Mus musculus: one gene and its partners. The protein of the gene in region 1 interacts with the protein of each later gene in a pairwise test. Links are inferred from orthologs where the notes say so. Each region holds a gene or a part of one and is shown in the gene's direction. Other genes may lie near its edges.

Region 1 (4,005 bases):
GTCAGAAAGATTGTATTACACCACCAAGTTTCTGCACTCAATAGTCAGGGGTTAAATGATTTTTTACTCAAAAAACATTAACTCATAAATCAAACTCAAGACCGCACTCATTTTGAAGATCAATTGTAAAGTGGTAGTCTGGTTAATTTCTCAGATGACCTTATTATTACTGTTTGTTTGTTTGTTTGTTTGTTTGTTGTTTCATTGAGGACCTGGTGCACACTGAAAATGGTGACAGGGTAGTCCGGTTTTTGCTTTCAAAGCTGTGAAGTCTTTGAGGGGACACATCATGCCATTCCTGGGCTGCCACATATTAGATACTTAGCTAAATGCGGGTGGGGACAATGTAGTTACACTTCATACCTCGTTGCATTATGTATGACCTTAACTGGACAGGGAGCTGCACAACTTTCCCGTTTTGATTCTTTTTGCAGTTAATTAAAGTTCTCTATAAACTGGGGCACTCCCTAATCTGCTCCGGCTACAACAAACAGAAGGTAGGTTTTACTTGCACCTACGAGAGGTTTTGTAAACACTCAAGCCCAGCAAGGACAGTTCTCTCGGACAAATGAAAGCAAGATTCTTGAGATGAAGGACACCCGGCGAAATCGGTCCTTTAGTTTGTCCCGTAATGTCTCTTAACACCTTAAACCCAGATAACAGAGGGCCCGCGTGGGCATCTCGACCGCGCCCCCTGGTCAGCCACAGCGTGATTCCTTCCCGGGAGGGTTACGCCCCAGGGCGCAAGTGGAGCGACTCAAGCATTAAACGAGACAATGTAAAAGCAGTCTAGCCAAGAAGAGACAGTGTTATTTTGGCAGCCAGTTTCTCTCCCCCCGCCCCCAAACCCCCGAGCCTCCACCCAATCCCTTGGGCCGGGCGCCCAGAGCTCGGAATTGTGGCCGGCTCCAGGAGCCCAGCTCCCTCCACGTGTCCTGTCTTCCCAGCAGCCTCTCCGCCGCCTGGGGAGGAAAATCTCCTGACAACTCGCGGTCTGTGGACTACATCTCCCGGGAGGCACCGCGCCACTTCTCGCTGCCAACACCCGGGGCGCAGGCGCCCTGAGCTCTGTCAACAAGCGAGTCTGGCGAAGCCTGTGTGCGGTTCCTGATGGGATTTGTAGTTTCTCTGGCTCTCTCTCACTCGCCCATCCGACGCTCGAGGACTACAAGTCTCAGCTACCCCGGCGCGGTGAGCCCGGTCACGTGTTAGGGGGCCGATCGGGCGTGCGTGCCGCCGTTGATCCGGTGCTGCAGTGAGGTGGTTGTCGCCCGTGTTGTGTGTGCGTGAGTGTGTGTGAGTGAGTGAGCGAGTGAGTGAGTGTGTGCGTGGGGGCACTCGGCTTGTTGTTGTCGGTGACTTCCCCCTTCCCTCCACCCCTCCCCTCCCCGGCCGCCGCTGCAGTGGCCGCTCCCTGGGCCGTAGGAAATGAGCGATAACGATGACATCGAGGTGGAGAGCGACGTGAGTCCTGGGGCTTCTTCCTTTCCGTTCGGGTTGTCAGGCGGGGACAGCGGCAAGGGTTCTCAGCCGGGCGACGGCGGGAGGGGGTCGGGTCGCCGCCGCCTCCGTCCTTTTCTCCCCCTCCCCCCGGGGCCGGGACCGCCTGCGTCGCGCTCCAGGCTCGCTCCCCTCCAGTCCTGTCCGGAGAGGCCTCCTGGGACTGAAGGTGGGAGCAGACACGCGGCCTCTGGGACCCCCACATTCTCCCGTGGAGGAGGGTGTCGAGGCCTCCCTCTCCGCTCTGCCCGGCTGGGGATCCCATTATCCTTCCGGATCCTGGGCAAGGAGACCAGCGCTCAGCTCTTGCTCTTTGGGTCCATGAGCTCCCTCCTCCTGTGACCGGTTGATCCTTGGGGTGAAGGGGCTGGGAGTGCTCTGACGCCCTAGAGGGATCGAGGGAGAGCAGGCAGTGTTCCGGATCCCTCTTGTCCGGTTCGGATCCCAGAAGGAGGGGCAGTGCCTGAAACCCCCCCCCCCCCCCCCCCCAACTAGGCTACGGGATCTCGCTGGAGAGAGTGGAAGGGGAAAGAGGGAGGGAGGGGTGTCAGACTGACTCCCCACCCGCTGCTTCCTCCGCCGCCGGCATTTTCTTTCTTATTATTGAATTCGAAGTGTGAAAATAACTTCTGTATTTTCTATTTTTCTCTCTCTCTTATTCCAGGAAGAGCAACCGAGGTTTCAATCTGCGGTACGTCTCCTACTCTCCATTTCATTTTCATTTCCGTTCAGTTTTGGTTCTTTTTGGAGTCAGAAAAAGAGATCGTTCTATTACTTTTAATACTCTTGTAAACTCCTCTTAACCGCTAAGGTGAGGTTGAGTCTGTTGGGGTTGGAGGAGGGGGGCGTTGCAAATCCACATGATTCTTGATATTCAGGTGGTAGATTCTAGTGAGTAGGTAGGTAGGTAGGCAGGCAAGTGAGGAGGCCTGTGCTGTGAACTGAGTTGTTCTGTAGTGTTCAGTGCGGCGGAGATATGTGAGAAATGGAAGGGCATTCTGAAGTGAATGGTAGTGTTATTTCAGAGCAAACTGGCTAGGTTTTATTTAGGAGCAGGTAAACTTTAAGCAGTATCTCCATAGTTGTGTGAAGTTGCAGGCACATGTAATAATCGCCTTTAGCCAAGGTCATGTGACTACTGCAGACTCCTAGGATCTAGAAAAGCATGATATTCCCCAAAAAACGACAATGGAAAAAAGAGAGGCGCTAGAAGTTAAATATTGAAAGTGGCACAGCTTTTTGTGGTCTTGACTTTCCATTTGAGAAGAAAAAAAATGTTGAAGAGTGGCACTGTTAGAGACAGCTTTGCTGAAAGGTGATGGATGCATCCATATAATGTTATCAGTAACTTATTAGATTTTTTTATATTAATGGGGTTTTTTTGTAGGTGTTTCTGGCTTTGGGTTGACCCCATGCTTTCTTGTCTGGAGTCTGAGACTTAGGAGTAAATAGGCATAGATTAGAGAGAGAGAGGAGAGAAGGAATAGACTCAGAATACAACCAGAGGAGAGAGAGAGAGATGGAATATTTGATGGTTGGAAATGGTAGGGAAAGAGAATGGAGTGAGGTCCTCATTACCCGTGAGGACCAGGTAACAGCTAGTCAAGGGTGGAAGGAAGAGGTGAGGATGTACACCCCTTCTAAAAAGTCCGTAGCCACCTGCCCCTGCTGCTTGCTACCTGAGAGTGATCGGTGCTGCCCGGTGCTGCCAGATCTTTTTGTTTCCTTCAGGGCTGAGCCCTATCCCTGGAACCTCAAAGTTTATGAGAAATGTTAAAATACTTGAAACACAGATTATTACTTTTTTGGGTGTGTTTATGTGCATTTAACTTTTGACTGTGCTAGGATTCGAACCCAGGGCCCTCGCATGCTGTGCAACCCCTCTGCCATGGAGCTTCAACCTCAGCCTATTTAATTGATTTTTTTAATTACATTTACTTAACGTGTGTGTGTGTGTGTGTGTGTGTGTGTGTGTGTGTGTATGTATGTATGTGTGTATGTATGTATGTATGTGTGTGTGAGTGTTGTGTGGTCACGTGTATGTGATGGCTCACATGTGAAGGTCATAAGAACCACTTGGATTCAGTTCTCTCTCTCAAACACATGGGTCTGGGGATTGAATTTAGGGTCATCAGGTTTGACCTCAGTGCCTTTACCCACTGAGCTATCTCTCTACCTTCTAGTTACCTGATTTTTAAACGATATATGACACAGCTGTTTAGGAACTTGTAGAGTTTGCAGGATGCAACTAGGCTTGGTGGTTCTGGTCGGTAAACCCAGTTACTGGGGAGGCTGAGGTAGGAGGATCAAACGTTCGAGCAATTTACTGAGACCCTGCCTTAACATACACAACACAGAGTCCAGGCTTGTGGCCCAGTATGTAAGCCCAGGGCTTCTGAGGCTTTGGCAGGAGTCTTCCCTGAATTTTAAGCCAGCCTGGGATATAGAATGAGTTCCAGCCTGGGCTACAGCATGAGATTCTGCCTCACACGAACAAGAACTCTC
Region 2 (4,288 bases), on another chromosome or scaffold:
CTCCAGGCTGTGCTGATTGGCTGATATCTTTCTTAGACGAGCTCACCTGCGCCTGTGTTTAGAACGCTTGAAAGTTCTGATCCCGCTGGGCCCAGACTGCACCAGGCACACAACACTCGGTTTGCTCAACAAAGCCAAAGCACACATCAAGGTGAGAATCTTTCTTTCCATATTTGCACTGATTCCTGTGTGTGTCGTGTACAGCTCACTAGACCGTCCTCTTCTTCACTAACTGCCCTCCAGAGAAACGGCTGTAAAATCTCACCAGCGATCCAGTGGGGCAGCATGATGCGAATAAATGAAAAAAATTTACAGCGTGGCCATCTAGACCTGAGAATGCTGGGGAAGGTCTTTCCGATACCCTGAAGGAAGGCAGCTGCGCCCTCTGGCGGAGATGCTGTTATTTGGCTTTATCTCTCAGTAATTTTCCACTGAATACCACATTGCAGGAGGTTTCTCTTTGTGGAACTTACCTCACAGACTTTTATAGTTCACTTCATTTGTTCAAGTAACATAGCATCCATACAGGAAAAAGACCACTGTTTTTATGTTTAAAACGCAAGTGTTTCTCAGTATTTATATATGCAAGGGTACATACATACCCACATATGTGTATTTGTGGCAGGAATTAGTTTTACTGTACTAGACTGGACTACAGGTGTGAATAAAACATCTTCATTTTAGAAACTTGAAGAAGCGGAGAGGAAGAGCCAGCACCAGCTAGAGAACTTGGAACGAGAACAGAGGTTTTTAAAGCGGCGACTGGAACAGCTGCAGGGGCCTCAGGAGATGGAGCGGATACGAATGGACAGCATTGGATCAACCATCTCTTCAGATCGCTCGGATTCAGAGCGAGGTAGGCAGCTTCTCTTTCTAAGGAAGTCCTGAGTCTCCGAGACGGGTGGGGGCGGGGAGACTGTAGACACTGCATCGGCTCTCACTAACCAATGTAGTACTGTCGTCTAGCTTCTGTTGTTTTGGTGCTAGAGAGCAAACCCAGCGAGTAGCATGTGCTAGGTTAGGAAGAGTGAGCCCAGCCGCACTCCCAGCCCCCAGCTTGGGCTTTGTGCACCCTAACATTCTCTGGCAGTGCCTTTGTGAACCACAATTTTTTTTCATATATGTATATACATTCTTTCTATTTTGAAATAAATTTTAGACTTAGAAAAAGTTCTGTTTAAAATATGCCAAGTTCTTGGGGGCTGGAGAGAGGGCTCAGCAGTTTAGAGCACTGACCGCTCTTCCAGAGGTCCTGCCTGAGTTCAATTCCCAATTCCCAGCGACCACATGGTGGCTCAACAACCATCTGTAATGGGATCTAGTGTCTCTTCTGGTGTGTCTGCAGACAGCCACAGTGCACAGTATACTCATATACATAAGTAAACAGATCTCAAAGGAAAGAAGGAAGGAGGGAGGGAGGAGAGAGAGAGAAAGGAAGGAAGGAAGGAAGCAAGGAAGAAAGAAAGAGAGAAAGAAAATGCAGAATTCTTACCATGAGAGAGGGACATGGCTTGAAGCTATATTTCATGCAAGAAAATCAAAAGCAAACCCCTTAAACCTACTTTATGATTAGCTTATTTTAGTTACTATTCAGAATTTGTTGATGAATCCATAGAAATCCATAGATCCACCTATGATCTATGATAGAGAGTTGACACCACCAAAAAATTCGGATGCCTAAACATAAATTTTCTATCTTTAATTTTATTTCTCCATGACCCCAACCTCTTTAAAGCAACCCTGATTAATAAACAGAGCTGTGAATTAGTTTTTGGTTTAATGTAAAACAGATGTTGTTAAACCACTTGGGTTGGGATCTTTTAATATTAAGTACTAATTCCCAAACAGGCCAAGCGCTTTTAGTGGGAGGTCTAGACGGACTGGCGTCAAAAGGGTTTTAGTAAACTTGCTGCCTAAATTAAGACCACCACTGTATACCAGATTGCTCTTTGCAGGAGAGTCCCTGATAGAGCACGGATAACCTTGCTGGATAACCTCTCTAACTTCTGAAAGTGCACATGCAGATTATTAATGCCCCCCTTTGTTTTCTCTTTCTTCCTCCCGCAGAGGAGATTGAAGTGGATGTGGAAAGCACAGAGTTCTCCCATGGAGAAGCAGACAGTGTCAGTACCACCAGCATCAGTGACCTTGACGACCACAGCAGCCTGCAGAGTGTCGGGAGTGACGAGGGTTATTCCAGTGCCAGTGTCAAACTCTCCTTCGCGTCCTAGGACCCAGCATGGCCTAACAGTGCAGGGCGGAGCGCTCACTGGGCCGAGTCAACACCGGCTCTCAAATTGGGTTCATGATGCAGTCTCCTCTTTAAAACTAAAAACTATACTTGAACAAAACGGTCAGAAGACCTGTATTTAAGCAAATACTTAACGAAAAGTGGGGTAGAGCCTCCCTGGTAGAACAAATATTCCTATATTTGGAAAGAGTACAGTTTCTAACGGCAGCAGAAACCATGCGCGTGATTATCTTGAGTTGACCAGGTTGACTTGAGAGACAATGGAGACTTCACTCTCCTGTTGCAGTTTGCTCACTCTGTGGTGGTGAGCAGACATTTAAGGATAGGGTTATGAACCCTTCCCGAGCTTCTTGGCCCTAGAAACAAAATCACACTTAGAGTAAGGAAAAGGCAGGATAATCAGGCATTAATCTCAGATAGCTGAAGAGCTATTAAAACTCAGCCTCTGTTTATCATGAAGCCTGTGGATGATCAGTTCTTTTAAACAAAATGAATTTTTAAAAAGCTCATATCGTGCTCTACAAAAGGAGAGACTCCATGAAGCCTTTTGAAAGAGGCCCTGACGCAGCCCGGCTTTCTGTTGGATTCCATGCTAAGCCAGCTAACCTTACCTGCATTGTTAGCTCTAGAGCAGCCGACCACCCGCTCGCCACCCTTCGGCCACGTAGGGGCAGCCCATGCATGACGGCCTGAATCACAGGAGGAAAAGCTCTGTGTGCCTCGGTGTCTGCGCGGAGCTGAGGAGGTGCGCACGCAGTATAGCAGCCAAGGTCTGAGCCACCGCAGCATTTTTATTTGAGATTTTGATAACTGTTTGTATGTGTTGAAAACCAAAATGACATCTTTTTAAAGCTTGTCCATAAGTAAAAACATAGATGTCTTTTATAGTGGAATAAACCACGTGGGGAAATCATCTATTTTGATGCAGCATTTGATAATGATAAACACCTCACGCCTCACTCTTCACAGTGCGCAGGACAGACAGACGGACGAGGTCTGGGCTGGGTAGACGGAGGTCAATGCTGTTTTTGTTTTCTTTAGGACCACTCCCTTTTACCAGCTTTAACCATCTGATATCCATAGTAGACATACTATCCTAGTTAACATAGTTACGTTCAGCACTTGTCTCATTTAATGTAAAGATTTTCTACAGGCAGTCTCCTCCCCCACAATCCCACTGTGCGGGTGCTATTGTTGCTCTTACAAATCCCTTCAGAAATGTTATCTTCTAAGTGGAACTTCTAGCCTGCACTCTGATGTCATGTGTTCCCTCTGTCTTTCAAACTCTCAGGTTTCCCTCTGGGCCACTGCTTTTCCCTGGGAAGCCTTGCTGGAGACCTTACCCCAAGCTGTTTGGACTTTGTATTCTTTAAATAATTTAACTACCCTTAATTACTTAAAAAAAAAAGCTTTATGATTTTCATAACTTATTGCTGATTTTAATGGGTTGTTAATTTCAGTCCTGTAGTTTTATTTTATGTTTAGATAGGGCTGGGCAAGGAAAAAGAAAATAAAAACAACCATATTTAGCAGTGCAGTCGAGTTGTGTGTTAATGTCAGAGCTATCTTCCGTGGATAGCACGTCTCCATACAAGAAACATACCGCCTTGGTCATGCATAAGGTCCCAGCACACACTACCCAGTGCTCTTTTTGTGCCTGCAAAAGCACTTCGCCGTTGCTTGGGCTGTGTCTGAATGAAAAGGTTCTTTGAAGTAGCTGTTTGTGAAACACTGCATGCCTCCAGACACTCGGCTGAAACCTGTTGCACTTGAGGTGCTGAGGACAGAATGCAGAAACCCTCTGGTTTCCCTTGCAGTCACTCCCAGACAGGTAAGATGTGTGTGTGTATTGGCTGTCTTTGAGCTTTCTCTTAAAGTTTGTCCTTACCATGGAAAGTAAATGGAAGCCATTGAGTGGCTGCATTATTCTCCTTTTTTTTTTTTTTTTTTTTTTTTAAGAGCAGGGTTGGGGGTGGGGTGGTCCCGAGACAGGGTTTCTTTCTAGCCCTAGCAGACCAGGCTGGCCTCAAACTCAGA
Region 3 (3,500 bases), on another chromosome or scaffold:
CTTTAGACACTCCAGAAGAGGGCGACAGATCTCATTAGGGATGGTTGTGAGCCACCATGTGGTTGCTGGGATTTGAAATCAGGACCTTAAGTTAGTGTTCTTAACCACTGAGCCACATCTCCAACCCTTTTGGTTTAGTTTTTGAAAAGACTTTATGCAAGTCTACAAGTTCTGACTTTTCCTGTTTTTCATACATATTTTTATATTTTTATTAGATGTCTATGTACAAAGTTGAAATAAAGCAATTTGTATTTTTTTCCCCTTTGGGGGAAGGGATGGGGCAGGCAGAGTGTCATATAGCTCAGACTGGCTTTGAATTTTTTATGTAGTTGTGAACTTTTAATTTTCCTGCCTTGGTGTTTGGGTTTATAGGCATACAATGCATTCCATGTCAGCCTAGCTAATAGTGAGACATTGTCTCAAAAGAAACAGATATCAAGTTAAACTCCTCGTTTATCTATGGTCATGGATGTTAGGGCTCTAGTATTAAAAAGTAGATCCCCTCCAGGTAAGCTCCTCAACACAAGAGTGGCCAGGCCCCACCCCTGAGGGCTTCCAGCTGCCAGACTCTTCTCACAGAACAAGGCTATGGCTGGACCCAGTTCCTTTATGCTCTACAAAGTGAAAATCCCAAGATGGGGCCACCCTGGAAAGCTCCCCCAAGAAATCTTATATAAAGCCTGCTTCCTGCTCAGTTTTTTGCAGTGTCTTACCCAAGCCAAGGTTTTCCCAATAATTCCCTTAGGTGAGGTTCGTTGTGTGGTGTGACTTTGTGGTATTCCTTGGCTTCCTACTGCCATAATACTTCTCCCTTCAAAGCTGTAACACTTCATCACCCCTTTAATCTCAATTCATGGCAATTCTCTTGCCTCAGCAACTTTCTGATAGTTTAATGGGTGTGAGCCTTCAAGCCTGGCTATTTATAAATTTTTTTTTTTTTTTGGAGACGGTCTATTTAGTCCTGGCTGTCTTGGAACTAATTCTCTGCAGATCAGGATAGCTTCGAACTCACAGAGATCCTCCTGCCTTTGCTTCCCAAGTTCTGAGATTAAAAGCATGTGCCACCGTACCCTGCTATTTGTAATTTTTTGAGCTATACTTCACCTAACATAAAGTTTGTAGTTTAAGTGCACCAGAACCTGGAGAGAAGACTCAGTGGATAAAGCTCTTAAATATGAGCACTGGAACTTTTGTCCCTAGTACCCAAAAACCTCTCTGACTGTGTAGCCTAAACTGGTCTTGACCTTTAAGTAATCTTGCCTTAGCCTTCTAATCTATAGGATTATGTCTTGAGAACCACACTGAAATAGTTTCCTAAAATAAATACATAATTTTAGTTTGTATAAGATTGTAGGATTATTACTATTTTTTTGTTTTTTTTTTGTTTTTTAGATAGAATATGAATAACTTAGCTAGTTAGATTAGATTAAAATTAGTTTAAAGATGATAGAAATGATTAGGGTAATTGGGTGGAGTGATCCATGCCTATAATCTCAGAACTTAACAGTCAGACACAGGAAGATTGTTTTGAGTTTGAGGCTAGCTTGATCTACATAATGAGTCTTAAGAAACCATCTCTTCCTCCTATTCCCTAATTTTTTTTAAAAGGATGATTAGGGATTCCAGAACAAATACCATTACAGTGATTGAAAGAAAGAAGGCTATAAGCTATGTCTTAAAGAATTAGGAATGTTTTTGGATAACATTTTGTGACAGGTTCTCATGTATCCCAGGGTGATCTTGAATTCCCTTAAACGTACTTATTTTTTGGCAATTTCATACTTGTATCTTGCATCGGATTGCATGAATTTTAGTAATTGTCATCCCTACTTCTCACCCTCATTTCTTCTCTCCCTCTCCAATTGAAACCTTTTTTCGTCTGTCTGTGAGTCAGTGAGTTTAAAGGTTTTAGATAAATGTTTAGTATGTGCATGTATGTGTCTGCATGTCACCTAATGAACATTGAGGTCAAAGGAAAGGGTTTAAAAATCAATTCTCTTTATTCACTTTTTTGTAAGGTTCAGGGATTGAACTTGGATCAACTGGCTTGCCTGATCTGCTGACCCATCTCTCTGACCTCTACTAAGTTTAAGTAGGGTTGCTTGCATAAGCATGGGTAGGTGATTATTTACTGGAACATGGGCAAGTTTATCTGTGCCTGTACCACTGACTGGCTTTGAACTTGTGCTCTTTCTCCATCTCCCAAGTGTGTAGAGTACAGGTCTGTGCCACTACTCCTGGTATACGCAGGGCTGGAAATACCCAGGGCTTTATGTGTGCTAGGCAAATCTCTACCAGATGAGTTACAGTTGTATTTTTGTTAGAAAAATTCTGAGTTGACTAAAGTTCTGTTTTTTGTTCGTTTGTTTGTTTTTTAGGATGAAAAAGCATTTGTAACTATGAATTGACTACAGTTTTCTTACTACTGAATTTCTCACTGGAATCATGGAAGAGAAACAGCAAATCATATTGGCCAATCAAGATGGAGGGACAGTGACAGGAGGAGCACCTACCTTCTTTGTCATCCTAAAGCAGCCAGGAAATGGCAAAACTGATCAAGGAATTTTAGTTACTAATCGAGATGCCCGTGCTTTGTTGAGTAGGGAGTCATCACCAGGAAAATCTAAAGAGAAAATTTGCCTTCCGGCTGATTGTACTGTGGGAAAAATCACGGTTACCCTTGATAACAATAGTATGTGGAATGAGTTCCATAATCGAAGCACAGAGATGATTCTGACCAAACAGGGAAGACGCATGTTTCCTTATTGTCGATATTGGATAACAGGCTTAGATTCAAATTTAAAGTATATCCTTGTAATGGACATATCTCCTGTGGATAGTCATCGGTATAAGTGGAATGGTCGTTGGTGGGAACCCAGTGGGAAGGCTGAACCCCATATTTTGGGGAGAGTTTTCATTCATCCAGAATCTCCTTCTACAGGTCATTATTGGATGCATCAACCAGTGTCTTTCTATAAACTCAAACTTACTAACAATACACTGGACCAGGAAGGACATATTATCTTGCACTCTATGCATCGTTATCTGCCAAGGCTTCATTTGGTGCCAGCAGAAAAGGCTACAGAAGTGATACAGTTAAATGGCCCCGGTGTTCATACTTTTACTTTCCCCCAGACTGAATTCTTTGCAGTAACAGCTTATCAGAACATTCAGATTACTCAGTTGAAAATAGATTACAATCCTTTTGCCAAAGGCTTTCGGGATGATGGGTTGAGCAGTAAGCCTCAGAGAGAAGGAAAACAGAGGAATAGCTCCGATCAAGAAGGGAATAGTGTTTCTAGTTCTCCTGCTCATCGTGTTCGTCTTACAGAAGGTGAAGGGTCAGAGATACATTCAGGTGATTTTGATCCTGTGTTAAGGGGTCATGAAGCATCAAGCTTAAGTTTAGAGAAGGCTCCCCATAATGTAAAACAAGACTTTCTTGGATTTATGAATACTGATTCGACACATGAAGTTCCTCAGTTGAAACATGAGATTTC
Region 4 (4,010 bases), on another chromosome or scaffold:
CGACTTCTTATGGGCCTCCAGGGGAGAGGTCCAGGGCTCCTGCTGACAGGCCTGTGTGGGGGACTGCTTTTCAGTTGGATGAATCTTGCCCAGCCAACCGACCTCTCAGGTATAATACTTTCCCTATCCTCTGAGGGTGACTTGGGGTACGGGAGATCTGATGGTGAGGGGTGGAGAGAGCCTCCTCTTCTCTTCTCTTTGGGACTTGGACCCCATTTTGCACTTTGAGCAGGGTGAAGGGGATGTGGGTAACCTCCCTTCTCTATAGACGTCTTGCTTCTCTCCAGCCCTGGCTCACCACCCCCATTTGTGCCAGACTACACGGGATGCAGAAGGCGGCCACTACCCTGGTTTTTTCTGTCCGCGCCTCTCTGACACTCCCGAGGAAGCCTACTGTTGCCACCTGCAGGCTGCCGGGGGTTCCTGCTGTACCCTGGATGAATTTGAGGCCCTGTACCAAGTTAACTTGTCTTCGCTTCAGCCACCACCCATCCTCAGGTAAGAACTCTAGTCCCGGATTCGCAGAACACTGGCAGAGTGCTCCCGTGTCTTGGGCACTGTCCTTGAATTCTGCAGTGGGAGACTTGTAGCTTCCAGATTAGTGGAGAGGAAGTCACTAAATCATAATTACAACCAATGCTGTAAATGAAAACAAGTAACAGAAGCTGCTTTGTCTTAAGGGGTTTGGACGGTGTTAATAAAGAGGATTTGTTAATCTTGGACACATTGTAGTAGGAGGTTTAATTCTGAATCTGCCGCGTTTGTCTTCAAGGTACTTGCGAGCTCCCAGATTTGTATGCAAAATATGTGTATGCATCTGTATTTATCCCCTGCTCTCGTGGGACTCTGGGCTCTGCAAACCCTGACTTGTAGCAGCCAGTAGACAACCTTGAGTCTCTCCTGTCTCCCCAGGGGTCCAGGCCCGCTCCTAGCACTGGGCATCTACACTCTACTGCTGATGGCACTGATGACTACAGATTTCGTGCACTTCTGCCGTGGTCGGGGACGGAGAGAAAAACAAAACTCCAGCGGCTGCCGCCGCCTTTCCTTTAGAGCCTCTTCCGCGCGCCCTCTACAGGTTCCAGTGGGAACAGACTAGGCGCTCGTGAAGCAGCCCTGAGCCTGAGCCTGCGCCTGCGCAACGCGAGTACCCCGCCCTTGCACAGACCCAACCACTTCTTGGCCTCGCCTTGTTTAGCGTAACACTGACGCATTGCTGGGGCGGGGCAGTCGCCGGCATCTCGCGGATCCCAGGGACACCTTTGCTCTAAAGACTGCGCCTGCACTGGCTCTTGGAGCTTAGCTTCGTGATGACTGTGAGTGGCCCGGAGACCCCCGAGCCCCGACCTTCCGACCCCGGGGTGCGTACTGATTCTCCTGTGCCATCTCCCCTTTCACACATGCGCCTTCGCACCTGGTCGCCGTCACCTTATTCTAGCCCTTCACGGGACTCGGCCAAGACCCGGCTCTTCTCCCAGGCGCGCTGCTCTGCCCAACGCCTTTCTCTCTCTCTCTCTCTCTCTCTCTCTCTCTCTCTCTCTCTCTCTCTCTTCTCTCTCTCTCTCTCTCTCTCTCTCTCTTCTCTCTCTCTCTCTCTCTCTCTCTCTCTCTCTCTCTCTCTCTCTCTCTCTCTCTCTCCCTCTCTCTCTCTCTCTCTCTCTCTCTCTCTCTCTCTCTCTCTCTCTCTCTCTCTCTCTCTCTCTCTCTCTCTCTCCAGGCCAGCTCAGCCGAGCAGCTGCGGAAGGAGGGCAACGAGCTGTTCAAATGCGGGGATTACGAGGGCGCCCTGACCGCCTACACACAGGCCCTGAGTCTCGGCGCGACGCCCCAGGACCAGGCCATTTTGCACCGAAACAGGGCTGCTTGCCACCTCAAGCTGGTGAGGGGATCGGGTTGCTCTAACCTGGTTCTACCTGGGCCTGGGATTGCCCATAGCCGCTGCTGTTTGTGCACCAGTTGGGCATTTCCTAGCCACGCACGATTGCCAGAGGTCTTTAGGCGTGGGTAGTGGGGGATCAGGTGGTTCAGCAAAACAAGGGTGCCATTGCCACTCTCAGGCTCCTGATCTTTCTCTTACAGGAAGATTACAGCAAAGCAGAATCAGAGGCGTCTAAAGGTAGGGTGGGTGTGGGTCCTCATATGGAGCAATGGGGTCTTCTGTGGTGGGAAAGGACTCTGGGGCCACCGAGCCATCCCTTTCTCCTCCTCTGGACCCAGTCACTCGTCTTTCTACTTGCTTTCCCACTTCTTCGGCCTTTCCTTTTCTGCAGCCGCCCTCACCTTTTCTGAGGCTGAAGCACCGAGCTCCACATTCGTACCCCTATCTTCCTTTGGCCCTCGAGATCTATCCCTACTGCTCTTGCCTGGAGACGGTGGCCTCCTGGGTGCTGATAGAGTTCCTGTTTGTGCTCAGCCATTGAAAAGGACGGTGGGGATGTCAAAGCACTCTATCGCCGAAGCCAAGCCCTAGAGAAGCTGGGCCGCCTGGACCAGGCTGTCCTTGACCTGAAGAGATGTGTGAGCCTAGAACCCAAGAACAAAGTTTTCCAGGAGTCGCTGAGGAACATTGGGGGCCAGATTCAGGAGAAGGTATGTGAAGGTACCAAGAGAAGTTGGAGTTGCCTGGGTCTGGGACAAGGATGTAGACACAGTACTCCAGAGAGGAGCTACTGGTAACAAATACACATTAATTAATAATGCTCAGACTGATGGAGGAAATCAAGTTTAAAGCATGTTTTTTTCTGTGTATGTATAAGTTTGTCCTTGTATGTAAGTGGTGTGGGTGCGTGGACTCTTACGGTACCTGGCGAAGGTATGAAGTGATTTGGCTCTGTTAGGCTGTAGTGCTTTAGCATATCAAAGTTGTAAATGAATATCTGATGATCTAGTTAGCCCCTCTTGACCTTAGACTCACTACCTGCCCGAAGCTGGCCTTGAACCCCTGATTCTCTTGCTTCCAAAAACATTTTTAGTTTTACTTTTTTAAGACAGGGTTTCATGTAACCTAGGCTAGGCCTGGACTTGGCTGCGTAGCTGTGGATAGCCTTGACTTCCTGCCTACACCTCCCAAGGGCTGGAATTTCAGGCGTCTGACTTTTATTTCAGCCTTGTTTATAGTAAGAGAGACTTGGAACTTGCCTAAATGCCCAGCAATGAAGAGAAAAAAAAAACCTAAACAGACTAGGTCAGTGCTGTTTCTGAGAAATGGATCATATATGACTAGACGCGGGCTCTGCTGATTGGTAGATGGAAAAGCAAAATATGCGGTAATCTAAGTAGGAAAGTACTATGTTCATGAGGGAACGATCCAAACAGTGGAGCCTGTCTGAGAATATCTGGCTGAATCCGTGACAGTCCAATGAAAAATGTCAGTAAAGCTTGACATTAAAAGCCAGGTGGTAGCGCATGCCTTTAATCCTGGCACTCGAGAGGCAGAGGCAGGCGGACCTCTGGGTTAGAGGCCAGCAGGGTCTACAGAGTGAGTTCCAGGACAGCCAGGGCTATGCAGAGGAACCCTGTCACTAAATAAATAAAATAAAAATAAAAGCCTGTTAAGAATGCACATCAAGCCAGGGGTGGTGGTGCACACCTTTAATCCCAGAGGCAGAGAAAGGCAGGTCTCTGTGAGTTCGAGGCCAGCCTGATCTACACAGTGAGCTCTAGGACAGCCAGGACTGTTTCACAGAGAAACCCTGTCTTGAAAAAACAACAAAAAACAATGTCCACTAAAGGCCAGGCCTGGTGGTGAATACCTCTAATCACAGCACTCAGGAGCTGAATGAAGCAGACAGATCTTTGTGAGTTCAAGACCAGCCTGGGCTAATTTAAAAAGAAAGAAAAAAGTGTGTGTGTGTGTGTGTGTGTGTGTGTTGTGTTTATCAAAATGGTAACATTGGAAGAAAAGAATGGGGTTAAAGAGGTTTTCCAAGAAATACCTGTTTTAACGCGCACACACACACACACAGACACACATACACCAAAAAGAAGTGTTAGCAGCTACCTCAAAACCT
Region 5 (4,298 bases), on another chromosome or scaffold:
CAAGATTTTGAGTGTAGACAGTCTGGCTTGCATCTTTGTACTTTAAGTTAAACAAGTGTGTTGTAGGGAGGGCAACTTTTTTTTGTTTTTTTTTTTTTTTGTTTTTTTTGTTTTTTTTTTTTTGAGACAGGATTTCTCTGTATAGCCCTGGGTGTCCTGGAACTCTCTGTAGACCAGGCTGGCCTCAAACTCAGAAATCTGCCTGCCTCTGCCTCCCGAGTGCTGGGATTAAAGGCATTCGAAGAGCAACATTTTTATTGATGACACTAGAAACACAGCAGTTCCTAATCTTAAAATTTAAAAAGATTTTAGAGTGTGCTTAGTCTAGCACACATAAAGATTGTGTGTGTATACGATTGAAATCCTGTAACTATCCCTATTACGACAACTGATCTCCTTTGCCAGTTTTGTTCTGGATACTAATTTAAAACAACTGTATTTGTTTCACAGACATTCTTCTTCCTCTTCCTCTTCTTCTTCTTGTTTTTCGAGACAGAGTTTCTCTGTAGACCAGGCTGGCCTTGAACTCAGGATTCCGCCTGCCTCTGCCTCCCAAGTGCTGGGATTAAAGGCGTGTCCAACACCGCCCGGCAGCTCTCAATCTTCTTAATGCTTTAATATAGCTCCTCCTATTGCGGTGGTCTCCACCATATAATTATTTGTTACTACTTCATAACTGTAATTTTGCTGTTATGAATCATAATGCAAAATATGTTCTCCGATGGTCTTAGGCGACTCCTGTGATCCGCAGGTTGAGAACTGCTCAACAGGAGGCTAAAAAGAAAATTCCTGAATAAAACTTTAATAATAACCCAATTTCTACCCCTTTCCTGTTTAAACGGTGTGCTTTTCCCAGCCAGCCAGCCTAGATGCCTCTGCTATCTCTCCGCAGCGCCTAGTAAACGCTCTTCTAACCCAGCGTCATGGTAGCACCGAGTTCTAGGTACGCGAAGCAGTTGGCCGAGGGGAAGTTTTGAAAAGAGCGGAGTTCTTCGGCATAAGGTTACACAGGAGCCTGCGGGTCATGGGTGCGGTAAGCGCAGACCCCTGGCTTGGGAGAAAGCGACAGCAGGTGTTCGGCTGAATGGCCGAGCCGGGCGGGGTTGGCAGACGCGGTTGGGTGGCGAGAAGCAAAGCCTTTCCTGTTCCTTAGGGCGGGAGGCGTGGAGGCAGCTTCCGCCCATTCTTCCAGAGAACTTCGCGGACTGCTTAAGAGCCCTTTCCGAAGGCTAGCCCGAGTCAGGAAAGTCAGGTCAGGCGACCCAGTCCAGCCTCAGCTGGCTCAGACGCGCGTCACCTCTGCAGAGGCGCGCGTTCCCCAACCCCGCCGGGGGAGGCCCCCGAGTGGGTGTGGCCTCCGCTGAAGAGCCCGCCCCCCGTGCGGTCGCGTGGGGATGGAGGGGCGGGGCAAGGCGATGGGCGGGGCGAGGGAGCCGGGAAGAAAGGGCAGGGCGGGTGTGCTCGTGCCCGTGTTTGGCGCTTGGGCGGGGGCGCGCCGGTGCGCGCGCAGGAGGGAAGCCAGCCGGAGCGGCCGTTGTCGGGTTCGACTGGAGGGGCGGTGAAGTCACCTGCGAGCGGCTGCGCCCGCCGCGTCCGGATCGCGCCGGCCTCGCGGGGCCCCACGCAACCCTGCGAGGCTGGGGTCGGGGAGCAGGCGGAGTCCGCGCCCGGAGTCGGCGACTAGGAGGACTCGCACCCTCGGCGCCGCCGCCCGCGCGGGGTCGGGTAGGTGCCATGGGGGTCGGGACGCACCGGGCGGCGGCGGGCTGGGGAGGGAGAAGCGAAACTTTGCGGGCGCCTATCCCCGCGGGCCCGGGCCAGCCGTGGCGCGGGGAGGGGTTGGCGCGGGCGGCGGCGGCCGACGCCATGTTGGGGTCTGTGGGAAACGGGGCGCTCGGGCGGCTCCCCTCCGGGCCGGCGCTCGGGCTGGAACCGCCTGGGTCCCGCCGCGCCCGTCCGCGGGACGCCGCCCGGAGGGCCAGGGCCGGGACCATAGACGGCGGCTGGGGACTGGACCTCGCGTCGCCCCCGAAGTTGTGGGGCAGCAGGACTCGGGTCCCCAGATCGTGCGGTCTGAAAACTTTGCAGGGTCTGGGCGTCAGGGGCACGCTCTGACTCCAGCAGTTTATTTTATGACTTTATATGAAAATGGCACCGTACAATTGGCTCAGATAGGAGCGGTAGCTTACACGCTACTTGAAGGGTTTTTTTTTTTTAAGTTTTATGATCTTTTGCCTAGTTTTTTTTTTTTTTTAATGTTATTAAAGGCCAAGAGCTGGTTCCCCAAGTTGCTCGAGTAGCCTTGTATAGTCCTCGAATATTAAAGCAGTAAGTTGTGTGAGTGTGCAGTGGAAATGACTAGTATTCAGGTTACATACACCTAAGCAGTAATTCAGACTCCCAAGTACATTAAACTGGTAAATGCCTTCTTTGTTATGTTTTAATATGTTGCCTAAGAGACTCGTTAAAGAACCATTTAGAGTTGAACGTTCAGTTGAAACGTTAAGGCATGTGTTGTCTTAAGACTAAGTGAAATAACCCAGTGTGTTGGCTCATGCCGGTTTTCTGAGCACTCCCGCGGGCTAGGGCAGAAGCATTGCCGCGAGTTCAAGGCCAGCCTTGGCTACAGCTTGAGTCTGAAACAAACAACCCCAGGACCACAACAAACAGATTAGGGTGATTTTGACGATTCAGTTTTTTTTTTATTCTTTTTCCTTTTCGTTCCTTAAAGGTGCATGAGTTTTGAGCCCCTATCTTTGTACCTTTATAGCTTAAGGGGTGGGAGGACCCAGGTTAAATCAGAATTAACCCAGGCTATTTTTAATCACTATGGGTCATGAGAGCATTGGGAGGTGAATGGTATTAAGTTGCTTATTTGGAAAGCTCTTTATAATCGCCCCTGCCCCCAAATGAAACTGGTGTACAGCATGAAGTAGCCTAGTAAATAAATACCCTTAAAAAAATAAAGGCGGCTTTAAAATTATGTTAAATGGGCTGAAAAGACTCTTAACAATGCAGAAGCCGTAAACAGCCGTGGTGGTTTTCCTTTTTTACTCTTTAGTTTTTTAAAATCATTCTACTATGTGGGGAAGGAGGAGGCACGCAGCCCCAGACCTCACGCAGAGAGGTCAGAAGACAAATTTCCTGAGTTTCTTCTCTTCACCATGTGATTATGGGGATGGAATTTAGGTTGTCAGGCTTGGGGGCCAGCTGCTATCATTACTTTCTGAGCCACTTTTCTGACCCCTCTATTTTTAATTATATCGTGTGTGTGTGTGTGTGTGTGTGTGTGTGTGTGTACATTTGTGTGGGCACATGGCACAACTGTGGAGGTCAAAGGGATAACTTTGGAAGTTGCTTCTCCATCCACCTTCTGCCCCAGGATAGAGCTGAGGCTGTCAGGCCTGGCCTCAGAGCCTTACCCCACAGAGCCATCCCTGCCCCTCTTTTTAGTGTTTAGTAGGTAAAAGTACTTTCTTAGGTATGCCAACTTTCTTTAAATTTTTCTTTAATTTTTGCTCCCTTGTCAGGTCACTTCCATTTGATATATATTTATTTTTTGGACCAAAAATTATTTATCAGAAAGAAGTTACTAGCCTGATATCACAAATCTTAGTAGTCAGTCTGCAGCCATCTGATCGTTTCTAGAGCATGGCATAACTCATCCCTGTGTGGGCATTCTCTTGCCCATCTCGTTTCTTCACTTATCCTAATTCAGGCTTCAGTAGAACTGTCTGCTAAAGAGCTGATAATGCAAGGGTATGATACTGACTGTTTTCTTCTTAAAAACTTTTTGTGGAAGCTGGGGGTGTAGTGGAGCACGGCTGTAATCCCAGCACCCTGAGGCCAAATTGCTGAGGGGTTGATCTGGGATTCATAGTGAGACTGTCTCAAAACCAACCAAAACCAAATCTACCCTCAAACCTGCCCTCTTTGATGCTTTCCCACCCACTGTGCAGACCAGCTTCCTCTTTCTCCATTGGATTCAACCCTAGGCGTCCTAGACCTACCACCTAGGTCTGTAATGGCACGCCCTTGACGGCAGGCCTCATGTGAGGTCCCATTTGCTTGTCCATCTTCCGCAAGCCAGAATGGAGCAGATGCTCAGGGGAGGCTTAGATGGTTCCCTGTAAATAGTCTTCATAAACTTACTAAATTGTCATTTATCCGTGGGATAGCTAAGCTTCTCCGTCGTCTGCCCTACGCACTACAAACTCCATTCAGTTGGCGGATGAAGGGCTTGAATTTGTGTGTGTGTTTTCTTTTTAGACACAATTAACTATTTCCAAGCAGATAAT
Region 6 (4,034 bases), on another chromosome or scaffold:
TTCCTTATCTGCATATTGGGCATATGGAGAGCCACAAGGAAGTGTGCACAATGCATCCACCTTGGTCCTAAAGTAAATTCAATGCTAATAATCTTTGTTGTTTGCTACAGTACCTTCCTTCCATTTTAAGAGCTGCTATCTAGCCACCTTATTTCCCACAGAACTCTCCAGCCTGCTATTTTGTCCTCAACCTAATAACAGAGAGAGGATCAAGGGGTGGGAGAGGATGGATACAGAGGATGGTGTTAGGGCATCTTGAGCTGTCTGTCCCCCATGCATCTATAGGCCAGCATGAGGGCCTCGGGTCATTAGGGCCAGGAGTTTGCTGAAGAGTTCACCCTCTTGTCACCATAGCCTGGCTCTTGGCACGGCTCTACCCTCAGACCAAGCACCGCAAACAGACACTCACGGATCCCTCTTGCTCAGTAGTGTCAGTAGCTCTTGGTGCCTCTCCCTTAACCCTGGTGGCCTTCCTTTTTACTCCTGATGGCTGATCCTGCCTACTTTGGGTCTGACATCTGAGAGGCTTTTAGATTCCAATGGTCTGCGTCCCTGTCTCCAAGTTTTAGCCTTCCCTGAAGCCAATATTCCTGCCAGAGACAGGTGTCCTTTGCTGTTCTTTAGCGAGATCCCAGCGCCCGCCCCTATCAGGCCCCAAGCCTGGTCCTCCACCGAGACTATGGTACCAACTGACTCCGGGCAACAGGTCGTTGCGCACGACATGCATGGGCACGACAAAGCGCCAGGGCGCGTGTCCGCAGCGCATCCTGCCTGGTGTCTCCCGAGACACGGTCCACGTCCTCCTGGCCCCCGCGTAGGCCGGGCAGCAGTCCCACCACACAGTGCTTCCTCTCGGCAACCGGTCCTGCCCGGGCGTCCTCATTGGCCCCACGCCCTGTCACTGGCCATTGGTCCGCGGACTCAATTTACATAGACCGTTCTGGCCCAATCGGCGTGCAATGCCTACTTAACATGCACGATGGCCGCCAGTCAGCGAGCACTGGGGCTGGGCCACCACGTGCTGTTGCTAAGCTTGGGCTTCTAAATTGTTACTACTGGAGCCAGCCTATCCTAGCCAAGCTTCGCATCTGTCAACATTCTCAGCTCTGCCCGAGGCGTTCGGCCAGTCCCTATTGGGCAAGGCTAGACAAGAACCCGCCCCCTAAGCCGGAGCGCCCACACCTATTGGCTGCGTCGACTGCTGCTCGACTTATGTGTCAATTTGAGGGCCTGAGGCAGAGGGTGGCGGCCCAGCGCTGGAGTCCGCGAGTCGGGCTGGTGTGCCGCCAGGCGCGGGGCGTGCGGCGAGCAGAGCCGGCAGGAGCGCGCCGGGCAGCCGCCGCCGCCGCCGTCCCGTGCGCGGGCGGCAGGATGGAGCTGAACTCTCTGCTGCTGCTGTTGGAGGCGGCCGAGTACCTGGAGCGTAGGGACCGAGGTAGCCCGCGCCCCTTTGTGCCAGGGTGGGCGGGCGGCGGGCGGGCGCAGGGGGCCGCTGACCGCACCGTCTGTCCCGCAGAGGCCGAGCACGGCTACGCCTCCGTGCTGCCCTTCGACGGCGACTTCGCAAGGAAGAAAACAAAGACGGCCGGCCTGGTGCGCAAGGCCCCGAACAACAGGTACCGCCCCCAACCCCCACCTCCCACCCCCGCGCGCTGTGCCAAGCCAGCTCGGGTCGGCCCCACCCGAGTGTCCCCGTCCTCTCTGCGTCCCCAGTACAGTCCTGCGCGCACCCGGGCGGCCGGCCTGGAGGAGGTGCCGGCCCCGCCCGCGCGTCGCCATCTTCCCGCGGCCGCGCCTCCCCGCCGCCGTAAACAGTGCCACGCGTACAGCGGCCGCGCTCGCCGAGGGCCGTTCTGGACTTTTCCAGACCGGAGAGGAGTTGTCAGTTGGTGCCGACCGCTACTCCCTAGTTTGGGCCTAATTGGGGACTCCTCCCTCCCTTGCACTTCTCGGAGCTGGCTTTGCTCTTAGACCCAGCACCTTATCCCCAGGAGCCTGGACAGAGACCTCTCTCTGGCTACTTAAGCGTCCTGCGCAGCTTATTGACAAGGAAACTCCAACCACAAGCATAGGGCTGGCTTTGTCGCGAAGAGCTGCAGGGAGCTATTTCTCTCAAAAGTTCCAGGGCTCAACTACACTGTTTGCCTTGGCCTTGTGTTTGGAGGAAGCCCTGAAGCTGAGGTTTAGGTATGGCTAGGACTGCTAAAGGTTCCACCTTCCTGGCTGCAGTGGGATCCAGGGCACACCTGACACTGTCTAGGGGCTAACTTTGGCCCAGCTACTCCTGTGTGGTCAGTCTGAGAGCTTCCTTAGCAGGCTGGGGGCTTCAGGGCCCCTTGGCAGAGGGTGCGGCTCATTCCTGTGGCCTGTCTGTTCTTGGGAAACAGAGAGGCTGGCACAAGGACCCATTTCTGTGGTGTCCTAGGCCTGGCAAAGAACAGGTTGAATTACCAACGGCCTGAGTCCCAGCCCCTGGTCTCTTGCTTTGAACAGTTTGCAGAAGGACTTAAGTGTGTTGGAGGCCTCACTGCCCCAAGCTTCCACAGTGAGATGGCCTGGACCCGGCTTCTGTCTGCCCTAAACCCCAGGTTTGGGAGCTCAGCTTCCTGTGGCATGGAGTACCCACAGCTGATAGGAATGGTAGCATTCCTGAGCTGAGGCCCTTGAATGCTTCTGCCATATACACAAGTAAGAATCTGACCCAGCCTTGTAAATGAAGCCTTATTTTGACCTCCATTTTACAACCGAGGAAGCCAAGGCATAGACAGATTCAGTTACTTGGGTAGGGCTGCTTAACCACCCTGTTCCTGGATGAGGTCCTAGCCTTCCATCTTCTTCTGGGATGGGGAGAACTGGGTGCAAGGGGCAGGGGATGCAAAGGGCCTCTCTGACTGGACTTGGGTGCACCTCCCCTGAAGCTTCCTTGGACAGAGTGTACTCCTTCAAGACCTGAAGCCTTAGGGTGGCAGACACAGCCCTCCCCTCCCCAGTCACTGCTCAGAGGCTATTCTCAGCCAGCTCAGTTGAGAAGCTGGGATTTCAGATGTGGCAGGGCAGTTCTGAACCTTCTGTGTCCTGGCAAAATGAAGGACAGGCCCTGGTATAGCAGGCTAGGGTGAGTGATGGCTAGGTCTCTAATGGCAGTGACTCCATGGGAGGGTGCCTTTAGGGTCAAGTACTTTGAGAATATAAGCAGAAGGGTCAGATCAAGGTGGTGCCCAGGCAGCATCTGACACAACGATGGCCTCTCCTCAGGCACAATACCCCCCCTCCCCCCACGGGATCTCTGGACTCCGAAAGAGTTCCAAGAAAGGCCAACACACATGCTGCTAGAGTGGCCCTGTAGTCCAGGGATTGGGAGCTGGCAAGACAAGTAGTATCCTCTGGTGCAGGAGGTGAGGGGACTCCTCAATACTTAAGGTTCCTGCTGACCCTAGCCTGCTACATAAACTAGCAGACCTGTAGACCCAGTCAGGCTGCCATTTAGAGAACTGAAAGACAGGTTCTCCAGAGGACATCAAGGGGTTTCTGCACTGCCTTCTTGGCTCTGGTTGGCCTGTGGAGGGATTCTGAGGCTCTGGCCCAGCCTGAGTGACTAGCAGCAGGTTTTGGAAGAGTTGAGGAATCCAGGGCCAGAGGGAACATAGGTGAGCTAGTACCCTGATGGTGTCAAAGAATGATGGGCCAGGCAGAGTGTACACATTTTTTGGTAAAAGATCCCAGATCCAGGCTCTTAGAGCAGCAGAGGAAAGGACAGGTGGGCAACAGCAGAGCACAGGGAGGGCCTTGGTCTGGGTGTGTCCTGATCTTTCTGCTCTTAAGTGCAGCAGTCCGGGGACCTAGAAGCCTGTGTTGGTCTGTGACATTCCCTTAGATTGAGAGTCACTTGGAAACCTGAGTGTTCAGAACCTGTGGTCTGGGTGAATGGGCTTGGCCAGTGAGGTTCAAGCAGCCCATGGGGTCACTGTTCCCAGGGAAGGTAAAGTTGGTCTCAGGGTTACATATTCTATATAATGCAGTTCCTGAGAGAAGGG
Region 7 (4,035 bases), on another chromosome or scaffold:
CATCTTGGGTTACATAGCAAGTTTGAAGCTAGATTGTTGCACATGAGATCCTGTGTCAATTCGCTCCTCCTTCTCTTCCAAGGGGAACGCACAAGAGCCTGACTGCTGACCGGAGCTGGGCAGACCTTCCGGTGTCTCTCTCCATAGCCACCAGGCCTTTCAGTCTACAAACTGTTACACAGTAGCCGCAACTCTTGGATTTAAAAAAAAAAAAAAAAAAAAAAAGGCGATTTCCCTTGGGAAGACAGCCTCTTCCGAAGGGGCCTGATTGGCACGTGACTGTGTTTTCCTAAGGCCATCTGTTCATAGTGCCCCCTCTCTGGTCCACTTGACTCTCAGAATGCCCCATCATTCCTGACTCATAGGTATGGCTACCCCTAGTGGCTATCCAGGAGCCTCCACCGGATGGCTAGCAGAGCCTTGTTCTAGATGCCACCCCGCCCCCCAGGGGCTGTCTGGTTGCAATGGCCCTAATGAGAGACGTATGTTTGCTTGCTGGCATTAGTTGTAACCACCGCAACGCTGTCTCACAGTACGCGAGTTGTCGTCACACCTAGCAGTGGCCGCTGAGGAGCTCCAGAACTCAGGGTGAGACAGTGTGTTTCATGCCCTGGCTTGGGAAGCTATCAACAGCCGACGTTTTCACGACGCCATTAACCTCCCTGCGAAGGACGGGAGAGCTAGGAGGGATTCCCATTCGAAGACCAATGAAGGGCAGATACGGGGCGGCCCGTACCGTGTCCTGCGTCCGCGCCCCCAACACAGGCGCGTGCGCATCGCCGTCTCTCGTAGCTCGCCCCCGCCCTCCTCGTCCGGGTTTTCAAATTTGAAACCGGCAGCTTTTCCCGCCCGAGTCGGGGCCCCCGCGGCGGGAGAAGGCGGGGCCGCGCATCAACCAACCCAGTCTCCGAGGCTCGCGGCCCGCCCGGAGGATGTGGCCGCGTCCCGCGCGCACGTGTAGCCCAGGCCGGCGCCTGCTAGGACCGGCGCGATTGCCTGTCGCAGGAGTGGGGCAGCTTGCAGCGCCCGGTGTCCGGGCTGCCTGACCCGGCGGAGGGTTCTTCCCTAAAGCGCAGAGCAGCAGCCCAGTTCAGCCTGGGCGGGAAGAGGCGGGCTGGGCTGGGCAGGGCGGGGCGGACGGGGTTCCCATGGGCGGGGCGGGGAGGGGCCAGGGCGGGGCGACCGGGGGCGGGGCGGGCCCTGTGCTTGTGGCACCGTGTCAGTTACATTGAAACAAAAGTGGTAAGGCGGCTGACAGGGCTAGCATCCCTAGCCCGCTGGTCGTCGGCTGTCGCCGACATGGAACCCGTGGCTAGCAACATCCAGGTCCTGCTGCAGGCAGCGGAGTTCCTGGAGAGGCGCGAGAGAGGTGAGGACAGACCCCGCGCGCGGGCTGAATTTGGCTCCCAACCTGGAGGGAGCAAGGCTGGAGGGCTGCTGGCGCGCTGCCGCCCGCACATCTATTGGAGTTCGCAGGCAGCCGGGCAGGGAGTGACTGGGGAAAGGGTCCTGGCGCCAAAAGCCTTTCCTTGACTTCGCCGTGCCAGGGGCTCCAGCTGACGGGCTGTGTTGCTGTGTTCTCTCTCTGGCAGAGGCAGAGCACGGTTATGCGTCCCTGTGTCCACACCACAGCCCCGGGACCGTCTGCAGGAGGAGGAAGCCACCCCTGCAAGCTCCTGGCGCGCTGAACAGTGGGCGGTGAGCAGGGATGGGGCAGTGTAGGGAGGGATGCTGGTCCTTAGCTGTCCCATCTAACTCTCTTCTCACTTCCTTGTTTGTTCTTCTGGCCCAGGTACCCTGCTCCATCCGCCTTTTCTACACACACACACACACACACACACACACACACACACACACACACGGCCCAGGTACCCTGCTCCATCCGCCTTTTCTACACACACACACACACACACACACACACATCACATCACATCACACAGGTCATTCACACTCCTGAATTGTCTCTACTACAGGCTTCTGCTTTTCTGTTCTTTTGCATATTCTGTTTCTTTAAAATAGTTTCCCCTCTACTGATTTCTCTGACAGGCTTATTTTTTGATCAAGTGTCACATCTGTCCAGGGAGCCTGTCTTGCCTGGCTGTCAGGGGCGAGACCCCGCAAGTACCTGGGCAAGTGTCCTGTATTTTTTGGTGTGTGTGTCTGATTCCTTTAGTCACTACCTGGGGTGTGGTGTCCTAAAGGAACCCAGGCCCTCACGAAAGGCTTCCTTGGCGCAGCTATCTGTAGTGAGGTCTGAGCTGCACAACAGCCTGGGGTTGAGGATTTGCACAGTACCCTCACTTGATCCCCTTGGCATTCACAGGTCTGTGCACAACGAGCTGGAGAAGCGCAGGTGAGTCCCAACCTGGCTCTCAACAGTTCCCGGTCTCAAGGACCATCTTTCTCAGACCTTTCCTCCCTTGCCATCCCTCTGGCTAGGGAGGTGGGGCTGGTACTGCCCTCCAGACTCCTTCCCTTGCAGGAGAGCCCAGCTGAAGCGGTGCTTAGAGCAACTGAGGCAGCAGATGCCCCTGGGAGTTGACTGTACCCGATACACTACACTAAGCCTCCTGCGCCGGGCCAGGGTGCATATCCAGGTGAGGAGCTGTCTCTTGTCTCTCTGCTTGGGAGACAGTGTGGTCTTGTGGTGTGGATGGCCTGGCTGCAGGGCTGCCTCCATTCTGTGGGACTTGAGACAATCCCGTTTTGTTCCCGAATCCATCTAATGGAAGAGAAGCAGACAGCAGGGCTGTTCTGAGGCCTTGTAAATGTTCCTTTTGTTGTGGGTAGTATTACTTAAGTCCTAGCTGTGAGACCTTGGATGAGTCTGTTTCCTGTTGGGTTCAGCAGGGAGTATACGGCTGGTGAAAATACTGTGCTAAGCCCTGCGATTCGGCAGACCGCAGAGGGCTGGTACCTAGCCTCTCCTCCTGACTTACTCCTCAGGGCTTTCTGGTTTGGGTTCTGCTGGTGGTGTTGAGTCAGGGGAGGTCTGGAGGCAAAGGACAGTGAATTAACTAGCTGGTTGGACTTGGCCTTGCTGCTGCTCGGGTGGAATTGCAGGCCCCCTGGTGGACAGGAGTGGATATGCAGACAACAAGGCCTAGGCTGTGCCAACCATGTGGGCGTGTTAGAAGCTGCCTTGGCAACAGAAGAGGATGTTTCCTGCTTTCTGGGCCCATGTGATGGAAGGAAACAATGAGAGTCAGACAGAGAGAGAGAGAGAGAGAGAGAGAGTGCGCACGCATGTGCGCGCACATGCGCGCACACACACACACACACACACACACACACACACACACACACACACACACACCTCTGAGAGCAGATGAGGGGCAGAATCAATCAATGCCTGACCTGTTTATCAGCGTTTATCATACACGGCTCTGTTAGGTTCTATTCAAGGGCCAGGGCAGTCAGTGCCATTGCTATTCAGCACATATTTGCACTGTCACATACATGCCTGCCTTCACCTCCAAGTGACCTGGTTCTCACGTAGGCTTACATTTCTCCCATGAGCTTGTCTGACCTCATTTTCAAGTAGATGAGCGTGCTACCCAGAGGGGCTGGCACCTGGGCATTAGCCCTTTCCTTGGGCAGCATCTCCTGAGTGGTCCTTCCACCAGGCTGCCTGCTATTCTGCATGTGCTGAGGCCAGCTCTAGCTGGGATCCCTGAAGGGACACAGCCTCACTTCCTGCTTCCTGTGAAACTCAAGCATCCCTAATGCGGCCTTGCTTTCCTGGGCTCCAAGTGGTCCCGTGACAGCTTGTAAAAGCTTCTCTCTTGGCCTACCAGAGACAAAGAGCTTCCCGGGGTCCCTCTGCCTTGATGGTACCCAGCCCCGTAGTTTAGTCTAGGTGAGGACATGCACCTTTCTGTACCTTGTGCTGAGTGTTCTGGCTTATTCCCCCCTTGCTTTAAATCATTTGTACGGGTTAAAGATCAAACCTAAGGCCTTGCACGTGCTAGGCACACCTTACCCCTGAGCTGCATCTCCAGCTGCTGTCTCTCTCTCTCTCTCTTTTTTTTTTTT

What was found.
Region 2: the proteins of Max (region 1) and Mxi1 interact in binary tests that used the Homo sapiens proteins (3 or more experiments, as listed by UniProt). The link is inferred for Mus musculus from reciprocal best matches to the Homo sapiens genes MAX and MXI1.
Region 3: the proteins of Max (region 1) and Mga interact in binary tests that used the Homo sapiens proteins (3 or more experiments, as listed by UniProt). The link is inferred for Mus musculus from reciprocal best matches to the Homo sapiens genes MAX and MGA.
Region 4: the proteins of Max (region 1) and Unc45a interact in binary tests that used the Homo sapiens proteins (3 or more experiments, as listed by UniProt). The two-hybrid records come from large-scale screens. The link is inferred for Mus musculus from reciprocal best matches to the Homo sapiens genes MAX and UNC45A.
Region 5: the proteins of Max (region 1) and Plekhf2 interact in binary tests that used the Homo sapiens proteins (3 or more experiments, as listed by UniProt). The two-hybrid records come from large-scale screens. The link is inferred for Mus musculus from reciprocal best matches to the Homo sapiens genes MAX and PLEKHF2.
Region 6: the proteins of Max (region 1) and Mxd4 interact in a two-hybrid assay, tested with the Homo sapiens proteins (2 studies listed by BioGRID). The link is inferred for Mus musculus from reciprocal best matches to the Homo sapiens genes MAX and MXD4.
Region 7: the proteins of Max (region 1) and Mxd3 interact in a two-hybrid assay, tested with the Homo sapiens proteins (4 studies listed by BioGRID). The link is inferred for Mus musculus from reciprocal best matches to the Homo sapiens genes MAX and MXD3.

The regions. Positions count from the first base shown.
Region 1 is NC_000078.6:76,959,449-76,963,453, reverse strand, and holds the start of Max (protein max), read left to right. Parts: upstream 1-1,205; 5' UTR 1,206-1,428; coding exon 1,429-1,464; intron 1,465-1,474; exon of another isoform or gene 1,475-1,669; intron 1,670-2,164; coding exon of another isoform or gene 2,165-2,191; intron 2,192-4,005. UniProt on the Homo sapiens protein: Transcription regulator. Forms a sequence-specific DNA-binding protein complex with MYC or MAD which recognizes the core sequence 5'-CAC[GA]TG-3'. The MYC:MAX complex is a transcriptional activator, whereas the MAD:MAX complex is a repressor.
Region 2 is NC_000085.6:53,369,506-53,373,793, forward strand, and holds the end of Mxi1 (max-interacting protein 1), read left to right. Parts: intron 1-36; coding exon 37-151; intron 152-684; coding exon 685-856; intron 857-2,067; coding exon 2,068-2,231; 3' UTR 2,232-3,788; downstream 3,789-4,288. UniProt on the Homo sapiens protein: Transcriptional repressor. MXI1 binds with MAX to form a sequence-specific DNA-binding protein complex which recognizes the core sequence 5'-CAC[GA]TG-3'. MXI1 thus antagonizes MYC transcriptional activity by competing for MAX.
Region 3 is NC_000068.7:119,900,228-119,903,727, forward strand, and holds part of Mga (MAX gene-associated protein), read left to right. Parts: intron 1-117; exon of another isoform or gene 118-2,116; intron 2,117-2,378; 5' UTR 2,379-2,445; coding exon 2,446-3,500. UniProt on the Homo sapiens protein: Functions as a dual-specificity transcription factor, regulating the expression of both MAX-network and T-box family target genes. Functions as a repressor or an activator.
Region 4 is NC_000073.6:80,337,420-80,341,429, reverse strand, and holds the start of Unc45a (protein unc-45 homolog A), read left to right. Parts: upstream 1-1,210; 5' UTR 1,211-1,310; coding exon 1,311-1,361; intron 1,362-1,717; coding exon 1,718-1,879; intron 1,880-2,079; coding exon 2,080-2,116; intron 2,117-2,270; exon of another isoform or gene 2,271-2,413; coding exon 2,414-2,589; intron 2,590-4,010.
Region 5 is NC_000070.6:11,004,820-11,009,117, reverse strand, and holds the start of Plekhf2 (pleckstrin homology domain-containing family F member 2), read left to right. Parts: upstream 1-1,498; 5' UTR 1,499-1,725; intron 1,726-4,298. UniProt on the Homo sapiens protein: May play a role in early endosome fusion upstream of RAB5, hence regulating receptor trafficking and fluid-phase transport. Enhances cellular sensitivity to TNF-induced apoptosis.
Region 6 is NC_000071.6:34,184,911-34,188,944, reverse strand, and holds the start of Mxd4 (max dimerization protein 4), read left to right. Parts: upstream 1-1,234; 5' UTR 1,235-1,371; coding exon 1,372-1,435; intron 1,436-1,516; coding exon 1,517-1,616; intron 1,617-4,034. UniProt on the Homo sapiens protein: Transcriptional repressor. Binds with MAX to form a sequence-specific DNA-binding protein complex which recognizes the core sequence 5'-CAC[GA]TG-3'.
Region 7 is NC_000079.6:55,326,932-55,330,966, reverse strand, and holds the start of Mxd3 (max dimerization protein 3), read left to right. Parts: upstream 1-1,235; 5' UTR 1,236-1,299; coding exon 1,300-1,369; intron 1,370-1,592; coding exon 1,593-1,698; intron 1,699-2,323; coding exon 2,324-2,353; intron 2,354-2,482; coding exon 2,483-2,597; intron 2,598-4,035. UniProt on the Homo sapiens protein: Transcriptional repressor. Binds with MAX to form a sequence-specific DNA-binding protein complex which recognizes the core sequence 5'-CAC[GA]TG-3'.